3 linked regions of the Cricetulus griseus genome follow. The protein of the gene in region 1 interacts with the protein of each later gene in a biochemical or structural test. Links are inferred from orthologs where the notes say so. Each region holds a gene or a part of one and is shown on either strand. Other genes may lie near its edges. The genes, in order: Pxn, Ptpn12 and Tln1.

Evidence for each region.
Region 2: the proteins of Pxn (region 1) and Ptpn12 form a complex in vitro, tested with the Homo sapiens proteins (4 studies listed by BioGRID and IntAct, with this or other methods). The link is inferred for Cricetulus griseus from reciprocal best matches to the Homo sapiens genes PXN and PTPN12.
Region 3: the proteins of Pxn (region 1) and Tln1 form a complex in vitro, tested with the Homo sapiens proteins (3 studies listed by BioGRID). The link is inferred for Cricetulus griseus from reciprocal best matches to the Homo sapiens genes PXN and TLN1.

The regions. Positions count from the first base shown.
Region 1 is NC_048597.1:95,638,675-95,642,422, forward strand, and holds the start of Pxn (paxillin), read left to right. Parts: upstream 1-1,102; 5' UTR 1,103-1,117; coding exon 1,118-1,157; intron 1,158-1,261; coding exon 1,262-1,488; intron 1,489-1,739; coding exon 1,740-1,849; intron 1,850-2,184; coding exon 2,185-2,321; intron 2,322-2,409; coding exon 2,410-2,611; intron 2,612-3,590; coding exon 3,591-3,726; intron 3,727-3,748. UniProt on the Homo sapiens protein: Cytoskeletal protein involved in actin-membrane attachment at sites of cell adhesion to the extracellular matrix (focal adhesion). Recruits other proteins such as TRIM15 to focal adhesion.
Region 2 is NW_023276806.1:173,476,614-173,480,261, forward strand, and holds part of Ptpn12 (tyrosine-protein phosphatase non-receptor type 12), read left to right. Parts: intron 1-2,467; coding exon 2,468-3,435; intron 3,436-3,648. UniProt on the Homo sapiens protein: Dephosphorylates a range of proteins, and thereby regulates cellular signaling cascades. Dephosphorylates cellular tyrosine kinases, such as ERBB2 and PTK2B/PYK2, and thereby regulates signaling via ERBB2 and PTK2B/PYK2.
Region 3 is NC_048595.1:99,984,048-99,987,695, forward strand, and holds the end of Tln1 (talin-1), read left to right. Parts: intron 1-411; coding exon 412-597; intron 598-680; coding exon 681-788; intron 789-1,206; coding exon 1,207-1,312; intron 1,313-1,484; coding exon 1,485-1,609; intron 1,610-1,721; coding exon 1,722-1,847; intron 1,848-1,967; coding exon 1,968-2,030; intron 2,031-2,115; coding exon 2,116-2,298; intron 2,299-2,618; coding exon 2,619-2,747; intron 2,748-2,858; coding exon 2,859-2,984; 3' UTR 2,985-3,435; downstream 3,436-3,648. UniProt on the Homo sapiens protein: High molecular weight cytoskeletal protein concentrated at regions of cell-matrix and cell-cell contacts. Involved in connections of major cytoskeletal structures to the plasma membrane.

The sequences.
Region 1 (3,748 bases):
TTTTCTCTGCATGGGAATGGAGCTACAGACAGGGCCGCCAGCAAGGATCAGAGCTCGAGCCCCTGGTGTGTAGGAAGTTGAGTTCCTTAGATTTGGTATCTTGTCTCTTTGAAATCACAGCAGTCCCTCCTGCAGGCTTGGTGTCTGGGACTTAAGGAGTCTGAGGAGTCTTGTGATCCTGCCCTTTCCTGCTTTATCACTCAGGGCAGGTACTGCTAGCCTCCAAGCCTACTTTCCTCAGCTCCAAAGACAACAGTTTGGCCTTTTAGGTCACCAGAAGGGGCACTTGTTTGTGACCACGCGTGTAGATGCCTTTAGTGGTTCCTAGTAGATGGTGATCAGTGCAGTGCAGCCACTGCCCCTCGATTGCCACTCACGAGGGCCCAGGAAGCAGGTCACTAGATGCTGAGAGTGAGCAGGTCAGTGAGCAGTGCAGGAAGGAGGGAGGGTGTGGTGAGCGGGGCTGGACTGTACCCAGGCCGTGGCACTGTGGAAGGTCCCAAGATGGGAGGCTATGGCAGGAAGGTCAGTACCTCCAACTCCTGTCCCTCTAGCTGTCCCTTCCTGTCGAGAACCTGAGCCTCTTGTCGGCTACTGCATGCCAGGGTAATGGCAGCTTGTGTTGGAGATCTGACCCACCCCCCATTAAAAGCGGAGTCATGGGGCCCTGGAGTTTCTAGGGCTGGGCTGCTTGCCAGGCTTTGGCAGAGCAGTCTTACTCCCAGCTTGTTGAGGGGGTGGCTGCTGCCGAGCTGGCTTCATGCCAGCCCCCTACCTCTCTGCATACCTTACCCACAGCCTGGGGCCTCAGGAGGAGCTTAGAGCATGGAATTCCGCTCCTACCTGGAGCACAGGTGCTCCCTAAGGCCACCCCCTGTCTTTAGACTTGGGCTGAGGCTCTTAGAAGTCCAGAGAGGACCTGGCTCTATCTACCCAGCCCCTCCCTGTGCTGTGACATGACGTAGGACTCCTCCCACCCAGCTCTCCCAGTTGCCCTCAGGAATCAGAGTTCTAAGCAGGCATTTCTTGCTTACACCAGGCAGCAGCAGCCTAGCCTTGTCAGGAGGAATGCAGAGCCAGGCATCTAACCCCTGAGGGAGGAGAGGACGGGCAGCCGATGTGGAAACTCCAGGTCTCTTCTCCCATCGAAGCAGCAGGTGTCTGCCAGACAGGATCTCTTCAAGTTCAGGAAGGCAGGACACTGCCCCTGGGAAGTGCCCAATAGGGCCAACTCTCACCAGTGGACGTCTTCTCTTTGCAGACGCCCTGCTGGCAGACTTGGAATCAACCACCTCCCACATCTCCAAACGGCCAGTGTTCTTGTCAGAGGAGCCCCCTTACTCCTACCCAACTGGAAACCATACCTATCAGGAGACTGCAGTGCCACCCCCTGTTCCACCACCCCCATCCAGCGAGGCCCTCAATGGCACGATCCTTGACCCCTTAGACCAGTGGCAGCCTAGTGGTTCCCGATACACTCACCAGCAGGTAAGGTGGGGTCTGCGGAGCCCTTGGGGGCTGAGTGGTAAAAGGAGCTGATCTGCCGAGGAGATGGAAAGCCATTGGGGATGGACTGGGATTCTGGGCTCCTAGTCATACACTGCCCTTCTCACCCACCATGTGAGGGGCCAGTGACCAAGTATTAATCACCTGACTAGCTGTGGAAATTCCCTGGTGAGACAAGCTATGAGCAGGAGCTGCCTGGGGGTGGCCTGAGTAAAGTACTCTTTCTTCTGCAGCCTCCATCCCCGTCACCTGTGTACAGCTCCAGTGCTAAGACTTCCGGTGCCTCTAACCCTCAGGACAGCGCTCTCTGTTCCCGAGCAGGCGAGGAAGAACACGTCTACAGGTACAGAACCAGCACTGTACATCAGCCCGGCTTCTGGGAAACCCTAGGGCCACTGGTGGAACTATAGAAGGCCTGAAGGCCCCTGCCAGGCCCTGTGCTTGTCAGCTGGCTCCCCTCTGCCCTGTCACTGCCTTCTCTGTAGAGACAGCATCTCTGTAGTTGAGAAACTGAAGCAAAATTTCCTTCCTCCTTGCCTTACCACATTCCTTCCCTACCCTCCGCCTTCTTGCTGAAGAGACTTGGTAACATTCCACCCCTCCGGCCTTGAGAATCTGGGGCCTGCCACATCCAGTGCAGGGCAGAAGAGTCTTACTTGTTTCCTCTCCTTCTCAAAGCTTCCCCAACAAACACAAGTCCGCAGAGCCTTCACCTACCATGATGAGCTCCTCCCTGGGCAACAACCTCTCGGAGCTTGACCGTCTGTTACTAGAACTGAACGCTGTGCAGCACAACCCTTCAGGCTTCCCTGCAGGTGTGAGCGGGTCTCTGGACTACTCATGGGCCTTTGGGTTCCTAGAGGACTCAGGGATGAGCAACCATTTTGTTTCCTTATCTCCAAGATGAAGCCAACTCAAGCCCCCCACTACCTGGAGCCTTGAGCCCCCTTTATGGTGTCCCAGAGAGTAACAGTACCCTGGGAGGAAAAACTGGGCCCCTGATGAAAGAGAAGCCAAAGCGAAATGGAGGCCGGGGCCTGGAGGATGTGCGGCCCAGCGTGGAGAGCCTCTTGGATGAACTGGAGAGTTCTGTGCCTAGCCCTGTGTGAGTATCCATTAGGGTCTCCCCAGGCTGGGGAAGCTCTTGAAGTCTCACCCCGACTGTCTTCGGGCTGTGTGGTACCTGTCCATCAGCCCTGAAGTCACCTGCTCCCTACAGTGTCTGCTACTTGCCAGGTCCTGGGGATATGGCATGACCCGGCAAAGCCAGGGTTAGCACAGGTTTGCTGATGTGGCACAGGGTTTAGATCATGGCTGTGCCAGCTACAACAGTCTTACTCTCGCTCTATAAGTTGGAATAAGCCAAAGTAGGGCATGGTGACACATGGTTATAATCCCAGCATTTGGGAGGTCGAGGTTTGGAGATCTCAGGTGCAAGACCAATCTGGGCTATATAAGTGAGTTCCAAGACAGTCTGAACTGCATGAGACCATAGCGCAAAAATACGACATAAACTATAAAATAGGTAAAGCAGACAGTAATAATGGAGATGACCCTACATAGTAAATAGAGTGAGACCAAATAGTATATAATAGTATATAATGTTGGGGGGGGTGGGGGCTGGCTCGTAGCTGTGGCAATCACAGCTATTAGGGAAGCCCCTAATAGCGTCAGGTCTTGTTTATTTTGAGGTAGGGTTTCACTCTATATCCCAGACTCTTCTGAAACTCACTATGTAGTAGCCCTCCTGCCTCAGCTTCCCAAGTGCTGGGTTACAGGGATGAGCCACCATGTGTCAGTGTTTATTGATGTGTAATAATCTCGCATGTGTATAGTGTTGAGAGGCTTTGTAGTGGTGCCCCTGTCTTCCTGTAGGGGTACTGTGAACCACCTACCTTCTCTGGTCACCTCACCTCAGCACTGTTTCTTAGCTAGTCACTCTTTCCCAGGGATGGGGATCCCTAAGGTGCTGCTGGGTTCTGGTGGCCTTCCCTGGAGTTGGAGGTGTCGTTGATCTGGAGCCCCCCCCGTGGAGCCTGGGGCTGACCCTTGGGCTCCTTACTGACTCCATGCCTGCCCCACAGCCCGGCTATCACTGTGAACCAAGGTGAGATGAGCAGCCCACAGCGAGTCACCTCCAGCCAGCAGCAGACACGCATCTCGGCCTCCTCTGCTACCAGGGAGCTGGACGAGCTCATGGCTTCACTGTCGGATTTTAAGGTGCCCTCTGATTCTCTCTGTC
Region 2 (3,648 bases), on another chromosome or scaffold:
CTTTTAGGACACTGCTCCTCATTCTGCATTGCCTTGCCCAGCCTTAATACATGGGGTGATACTTAGTCTTACTGCAACTTGATATGCCATGCTTTGTTGATACTGTCCTTTTCTAACCTGAAACCCTCCCCGCACTCCCCCCCCCCCGGTTGGGAGAAGAGGAGGGAGGGGAAACTGCAGCCAGGATATAAAATAAATAAATTTTGGGGAGAAGAAAATACAATATACTTGTCAAACTTATAGCCATAGATATAACCGAAGGGATTAAAAAAGAAAAAAAAAAAAAAAAGACTGACCGGGTGTTAATGGCACATGCCCTTAATTCCAGGCAGATCTCTGTGAGTTCAAGACCAGCTTGGTCTACAAGAGCTAGTTCCAGGACAGCCTCCAAAGACACAGAGAAACCCTGCCTGGAGAAAAAATAAAGTTTAGAGCACAATCTAACTGAGCTAGATTCACCACTTAAAATGCAAAGTTTTTGTTACTGATTGCAGGTTGGCATGCTTAGGGTCATATGCTTGTTCATAAAGTAGCTCTCTAACTTTGTGCCTTCTGTGTTGTCTCCCACTGCATTGTTTCCTTTCACTGTTAAAAACATCTTTGTGTCTCAGATATAATTTTTAAAGTTATTGGTAGAGGTCAGAAAAGATATAGCATGGGTAAAAGCAGCTTTCTCAATTCTGAGATGTAAGTAGTATAGAAGGCACCATGTTTTTAGTTGAAAAAAATAAGTAACTATGGCTAGATAGATGGCTCAGCAGGTAAGGTCCCAAGTTGAATTCCTCACCACCACCTGTGACTCTAGCTCCGGGGGAACCAATGTCCTCCTCTGTCCTCCTTGGACTTACATACTCAAACACACAGACACAGTATTTTTTTTAACATGTATGAGTGTTTAAACTTCTTTTACACCTGTCTACACTGTGTGTGCCTGGTGCCCATAGAGGCTGGAAAAGAGTATCAACCGTTTCGGACTAGAGTTACAAACATTTATAGGCTCCCATGTGGGTGTGGGAAATTGACCTGTGTTATGCTTCCAGTTTTTATTATTTTCTTCATTAATATATTACCTTTTAGCAAAGGGGGAGGAGTTGATGTGTTCTGTTTGCTGGTGAGGATTGTACCCAGATTCTCTTGCATGCTCGACCCTCACTGCAGTTAAGCTATACTTAATCAGAATCATAAAGCTATAGAGAACAATTCTTTTTGTTAGAAGTTAGTACCTCTGAAGGTACAAGTATATTAGTCCTCTAGAAGCTCACATCTCTTGAGTAAGGTGGTACACACCTGTAATCACGGCTTTTGCGGGGCAGAGGCAGCAGGTACCTTTAAAGCCAGACTAGGTTATGTACTGAGACTCTGGCTGAAAAGGCAACATAACTTTAAAACAAAAGTTTGCCTTATGTACAGAGCTGAGAGACTGTAGCACACAGACGTGAAAGTTTGCGTAGGAAGAGTAAGATGGGCTGGGAACCATGCAAGTCTGAGACACAGGGGATGGGGCGGCCACACTGTCTGAAGAGGAGGACTTCGGTGTTGATGCCTCCCTGGTGTGCATGGCCTGACAGGACACACAGGGATCTGCTGGAAAGTTAAAAGAACTGATTGCCAAGAACTAAGCCATTAAAATCCCAAGACTTAACGGGAAAACAAGAAGTTCTAGAATGAAAGAAAACATGGTGTCATAAGTGTGAATAATACTAATGGTCGTAGATTTCTCTAAACAAAATAAAAAATATTGGGAAGGTAGAATAGGAGATAATTCCAAAGTAGGAAGTATAGCGTTTAAAACAGAAAGATTAAGAAGTAATAGCAGTGTCAACATCTTAAAATATTAAGGTGTATCTTAAAAGTAGCTGTAAATTTTTTTTCTTTTTCCCAATATGTACTCCTGACTGTCCTGGAACTTGCTATATTTGAGACCAGGCTGGCCTCAAACTCAGAGAGATCCATCTACCTCTGTTTCCAAGTGCTGAGACTAAAGGTGTGTGCTACCACCTCTCAGCCCTGTGGAAAAATTTTAGAGTAGGTACCTCTGGTTAATACAGACTAGAAGAGGGAACTACTTTTTTTCATTAAAGCCATATGACTTTAAAATAATAAATCTGGGCTGGAGAGATGGCTCAGAGGTTAAGAGCACTGACTGCTCTTCCAGAGGTTCTGAGTTCAATTCCCAGCAACCACATGGTGGCTCACAACCATCTATCAAGGTCTGGTGCCCTCTTCTGTCCTGCAGGCATACTTTCAGGCAGAATACTGTATATATATAATAAATAAATAAATCTTTAAAAAAAAGAATAAATCTGTGTTACCTTTATAAATGCAGATTTGTCTTAGTCTTACAAATCAGAACTTTATAACCATATTGTAATGGATTTTAATGTAATAGTTTTTGCTACAAAATTATCATTTGTCAACTTACTTTTAAAATGTTAAACATTGTTTAAATCAGTTTGTTGTTTTCCAGTTGCCTTGTAGAAGGGGATGCCAAGGAAGAAATACTGCAGCCACCAGAACCTCACCCGGTTCCTCCCATCTTGACGCCGTCTCCCCCTTCAGCCTTTCCAACCGTTACTACTGTGTGGCAGGACAGTGACAGGTACCACCCAAAGCCAGTGTTGCACATGGTCTCATCAGAACAGCATTCAACAGACCTCAACAGAAATTACAGTAAACCATCAGATGTTACAGAGAAAAATGAATCAACTGTTGAACACATAGATAAAAAATTAGAGCGAAATTTAAGTTTTGAGATTAAGAAAGTCCCTCTCCAAGAAGGACCCAAAAGTTTTGATGGGAACACACTCTTGAATAGAGCACATGCAATTAAAATTAAATCTGCTTCATCGTCTGTGGTTGACAAAACCTCCAGGCCACAGGAGTTAAATTTAGGTGATATAAAAGTTGATGTTCCTCAGAATTCTTGTGTGGACTGCGGTGCGGCACATTCAGACAGAGCCCCAGATTCTTCAGAAGAATCTCCAAACTCACACACACTGTCACGGCCAGACCGCTTGCCTCTTGATAAGAAAGGACACGTGACATGGTCATTTCATGGACCTGAAAATGCTACCCCTGTATCTGACTCATCTGAAGGCAAATCACCAGATAACCATTCTCAGCCTGTAAAAACTGTGAGTTCAACAGCAAGCTCTACAACAGAAGTGGAGGCTCGTGAGCTCGTGGATCCCCATAACAGCTCCCCTGTGTCGGGAGCATTGCTCAGCTTTACCAACCCTCTTCACTCTGATGATTCAGATGCAGATGAAGGGGATTCAGATGGTGCTGTGACCAAGAGCAAAACTAGCATTTCAACAGCAAGTGCCACTGTTTCTGCTGCCAGGAGTGCCGAAAGCGCTTCCACTAGGAAAGTGTTGCCAATGTCCATTGCTAGACAGGATTTGGGAGGAACGCTACATTCGGGTGCTGAAAAAGGTACTGTGGTCTGACTCTCGCTCTGTTGTCTGCCCATCTCTGTTCTACACAGTTTAGCTCTGTCCAAGCATTATGATATCACACCATACTGGAACCTACAGCAAAATTTAGGTGTAGTTTAGATAACATTTTTTAAATATTATTTATTTTTATTTCATGTACATTGGTACTTTTGCCTGCATGTATGTCTGTATGAGGCTGTCAGATCCCTTG
Region 3 (3,648 bases), on another chromosome or scaffold:
CCCACATGGCCTCCTGTCATGTGAGGCACTTACATTCCAAACAGTCCCCAGTCTCGCTTCAGTCAGCTGTGGCCAGCTGTGGCTCTCTGTTAACTGTGATGTAGGAGTATCTGCAAGGATTGACCTATAGTAGCTATTGAAGAAACGTTTTTTTGAGCCCAGCAGTGGTACCACAAGCCTTTAACCCAGCACTCAGGTGGATCTCTTATTAAGTTTGAGGATTGCCAGGGCTACACAGAGAAACCTTTCTCCAACACACACACACACACACACACACACACACACACACACACACACACCATCAGAAAGAAAAGAAAAGCTTTTTGAGGGAACACATGGATATGTGAGCTAAATCACATGACTGTCTTCCCGTCTTAAACGCTGTGAAATCTCCCATCTTTTTTCCCACAGGTCTTCTGTTCCCCAGAACCACCAGCCAAGACCTCTACCCCTGAAGATTTCATCCGAATGACCAAGGGTATTACTATGGCAACAGCCAAAGCTGTTGCTGCTGGCAATTCTTGTCGACAGGAAGATGTCATTGCCACAGCCAATCTGAGCCGACGTGCTATTGCAGATATGCTTCGGGCTTGCAAGGTAGAAATGCTGGTAGTGAGGTGGTGGCATGCGGGGATATGGGAGCCTTGAAAGCTAAAGCTAACCTGCTACTTTGGGAACAGGAAGCAGCCTTCCACCCAGAAGTGGCACCAGATGTGCGGCTTCGAGCTCTGCACTATGGCCGGGAATGTGCCAATGGTTACCTGGAGCTGCTGGACCACGTGCTACTGGTAAGGAGATGTTGCTCCTAGCCCTGACCCAGACCCACCCTACCACCTGTTCCCAAATCCATTCTCATTTCCAAGTCTCCTTCCTCTGGGACTCTTGTTCTCATGGTCTTTGTTTCTCCCATTCATCTCTTCTTCCTCTTCTCTTGTCTCCTTTTTTTCCTTCTCACCTCCCCTTCTCTACCTTTACCGTCTCTTCATATTTCATCATTCTCCTTGTTGTCAGCCGGTGAGTGACAGCCCCACACTTGACTGTGTGTGAAGCATGATGCACTGTGTGTACTTGAGTAGGACAAAGTGTTTGAGGGCTGTGCTATGAGTGCTCTAGAGATTAGGGCCGGGAGCATGGTCTGCCTTGTTTCACGGGTCAAGGTGGAACCTAGGATCTGATGCTCTTTGTGTACACTTTCCCTTCCCCCAGACCCTTCAAAAGCCAAACCCAGAACTGAAGCAGCAATTGACAGGACACTCAAAGCGGGTGGCTGGCTCAGTGACTGAGCTCATCCAGGCTGCTGAGGCCATGAAAGGTAAAGGGTAATGAGAAACGGTATGGTCTCTACTTCTTGGTTGGATAGCTCAGAGCTAGCCTCTGCTTCTAGTCCTCATAGGTGCCAGGGACTGGTGATGCTAAACAAACTCTCTAGTGGGTCTGACCTCCCTACCCTGCCTCAGCATCTTCCTTCTGTCTTCATCCCACAGGAACAGAGTGGGTGGACCCAGAGGACCCCACTGTTATTGCTGAGAATGAGCTCCTAGGAGCCGCAGCTGCCATTGAGGCTGCAGCCAAAAAGCTAGAGCAGCTGAAGCCCCGGGCCAAACCCAAGGTCAGAGCTGTTCCTTCGCCTTCCACCCTCAATAGGGGCAGGAGGTCTCCACCTTTGTCCCCTTTCTTACAGCTTCCCCACTCCCTGGCCCTCTGCAACCTTCTCTTTATAGGAGGCAGATGAGTCCTTGAACTTTGAGGAACAAATCCTAGAAGCTGCCAAGTCCATCGCAGCAGCCACCAGTGCACTAGTAAAGGCTGCATCAGCAGCCCAAAGGGAGCTGGTGGCTCAAGGAAAGGTCAGTACTCATCCCCAGCAGGATGAGGACAAGGTGGCAGATCCCATTTGCATCCTTAGCAGAGCGGCTTTGCAGGAAGGACAGCATAGGTCTAAGTGGGTTCCCTTCTTTCTTCTGCAGGTGGGCGCCATTCCAGCCAATGCACTGGACGATGGACAGTGGTCCCAGGGCCTCATTTCTGCTGTGAGTGTATAACATGAGGCTGGAATGAAATGGAAAGGGCCAGAGCACGAAGCATTTTTTAATCTTAACTCTCTTTCTCCGTTAGGCCCGCATGGTGGCTGCAGCCACCAACAATCTGTGTGAGGCAGCCAATGCAGCTGTTCAGGGCCATGCTAGCCAGGAGAAACTCATTTCCTCAGCTAAGCAGGTAGCTGCCTCCACAGCCCAGCTCCTGGTAGCTTGCAAGGTCAAAGCTGATCAAGACTCTGAGGCAATGAAACGGCTTCAGGTAAAAAACTCTACCCATCCCACTACTGCACCGCTTTAAACTGCCATTCCCACTCACACAATCCAGAGTGCCCAAGGAATAGTGCTGCTCACCGTGGGCAGTTCTTCCCACTTAATTAATGTAGTCATTTCCCCACAGATATACCCACAGGCCAACCCAATCCAGACAATCCTTCGTTTTTACTCCCTTCTCAGGTGATCTCAGATTGTGTAAAGTTGACAGTTAGCACTTTCACACCCGAGATAAGTTTCTTTATGGGCATCAAGGAACTCTGAACTAGAACCCTGAGTTCTCAGGAGGGGCTGTTTCTTCTTGTGCAGGCTGCTGGCAATGCAGTGAAGAGGGCCTCAGACAACTTGGTGAAGGCAGCCCAGAAGGCTGCAGCCTTTGAAGACCAGGAGAATGAAACAGTGGTGGTGAAGGAGAAAATGGTTGGGGGCATTGCCCAGGTGAGCCACCGAGGGACACTGTTGGGAACATGGTCTTGTTGCGTGCGCTATCCCACCCAGCCTCTGCCCTATGCACATCTTGTTGAGCTTTCTTGGCCCTTCATCCCCCAGATTATCGCAGCACAGGAAGAGATGCTTCGGAAGGAACGAGAGTTGGAAGAGGCACGGAAAAAGCTTGCCCAGATCCGGCAGCAGCAGTACAAGTTTTTGCCTTCAGAACTTCGAGATGAGCACTAGGGAAGCCATTTCTATTTAATGCAGACCCAGCCCAGAGACTGTGCCTGCCACTACCAAAGCCTTCTGGGCTGTCAGGGCCCAACCTGCCCAACCCCAGCACTCCCCTAAAGTGCCTGCCAAACCCCGGGCCTGGCCCTGCCCAGTCCCACTGCAAGCCCTGTCCTCTCCCTGACTCCAAGTGCCTTCGTACCCTAGGGCCCCTAAGTGCCTGTCCCTTCCCAGAGTATTAACGCTCCAAGAGTATTATTAACGCTGCTGTACCTCAATTTGAACCTGCCAGGGCCTCCGGCTGCTCCACCCTGCCAGCCGCTTCCAGCCAGTCCCCACAGCTGCATCAGCTCAACTCATCCTATTTTGATACTATATGGCCTACCCCAGCTACCTATGGAGCTTGGGGGTTGTAAACCCCAAAAAGGTCATGCTCCAATAAAGGTGATTCTACCTACCTGCAGCTGCAGCCTGGCTTTGTGAGGAGATGGAAGATCTTCCCCAGGGGTATTGGGGAGGACAGGAGTGAACTCTGTCACCTGACTTGATTGGCTCAGAATGGGAGCAGAGGAGATTGAAGCAGTCTGCCCATCAGGCCTCTTTCTCCTACCTGCACCCAGCAGTCACCCTACTTGGGAAACCCTGCCTGCAAAACCATTTTCTATTCCCATGTCAC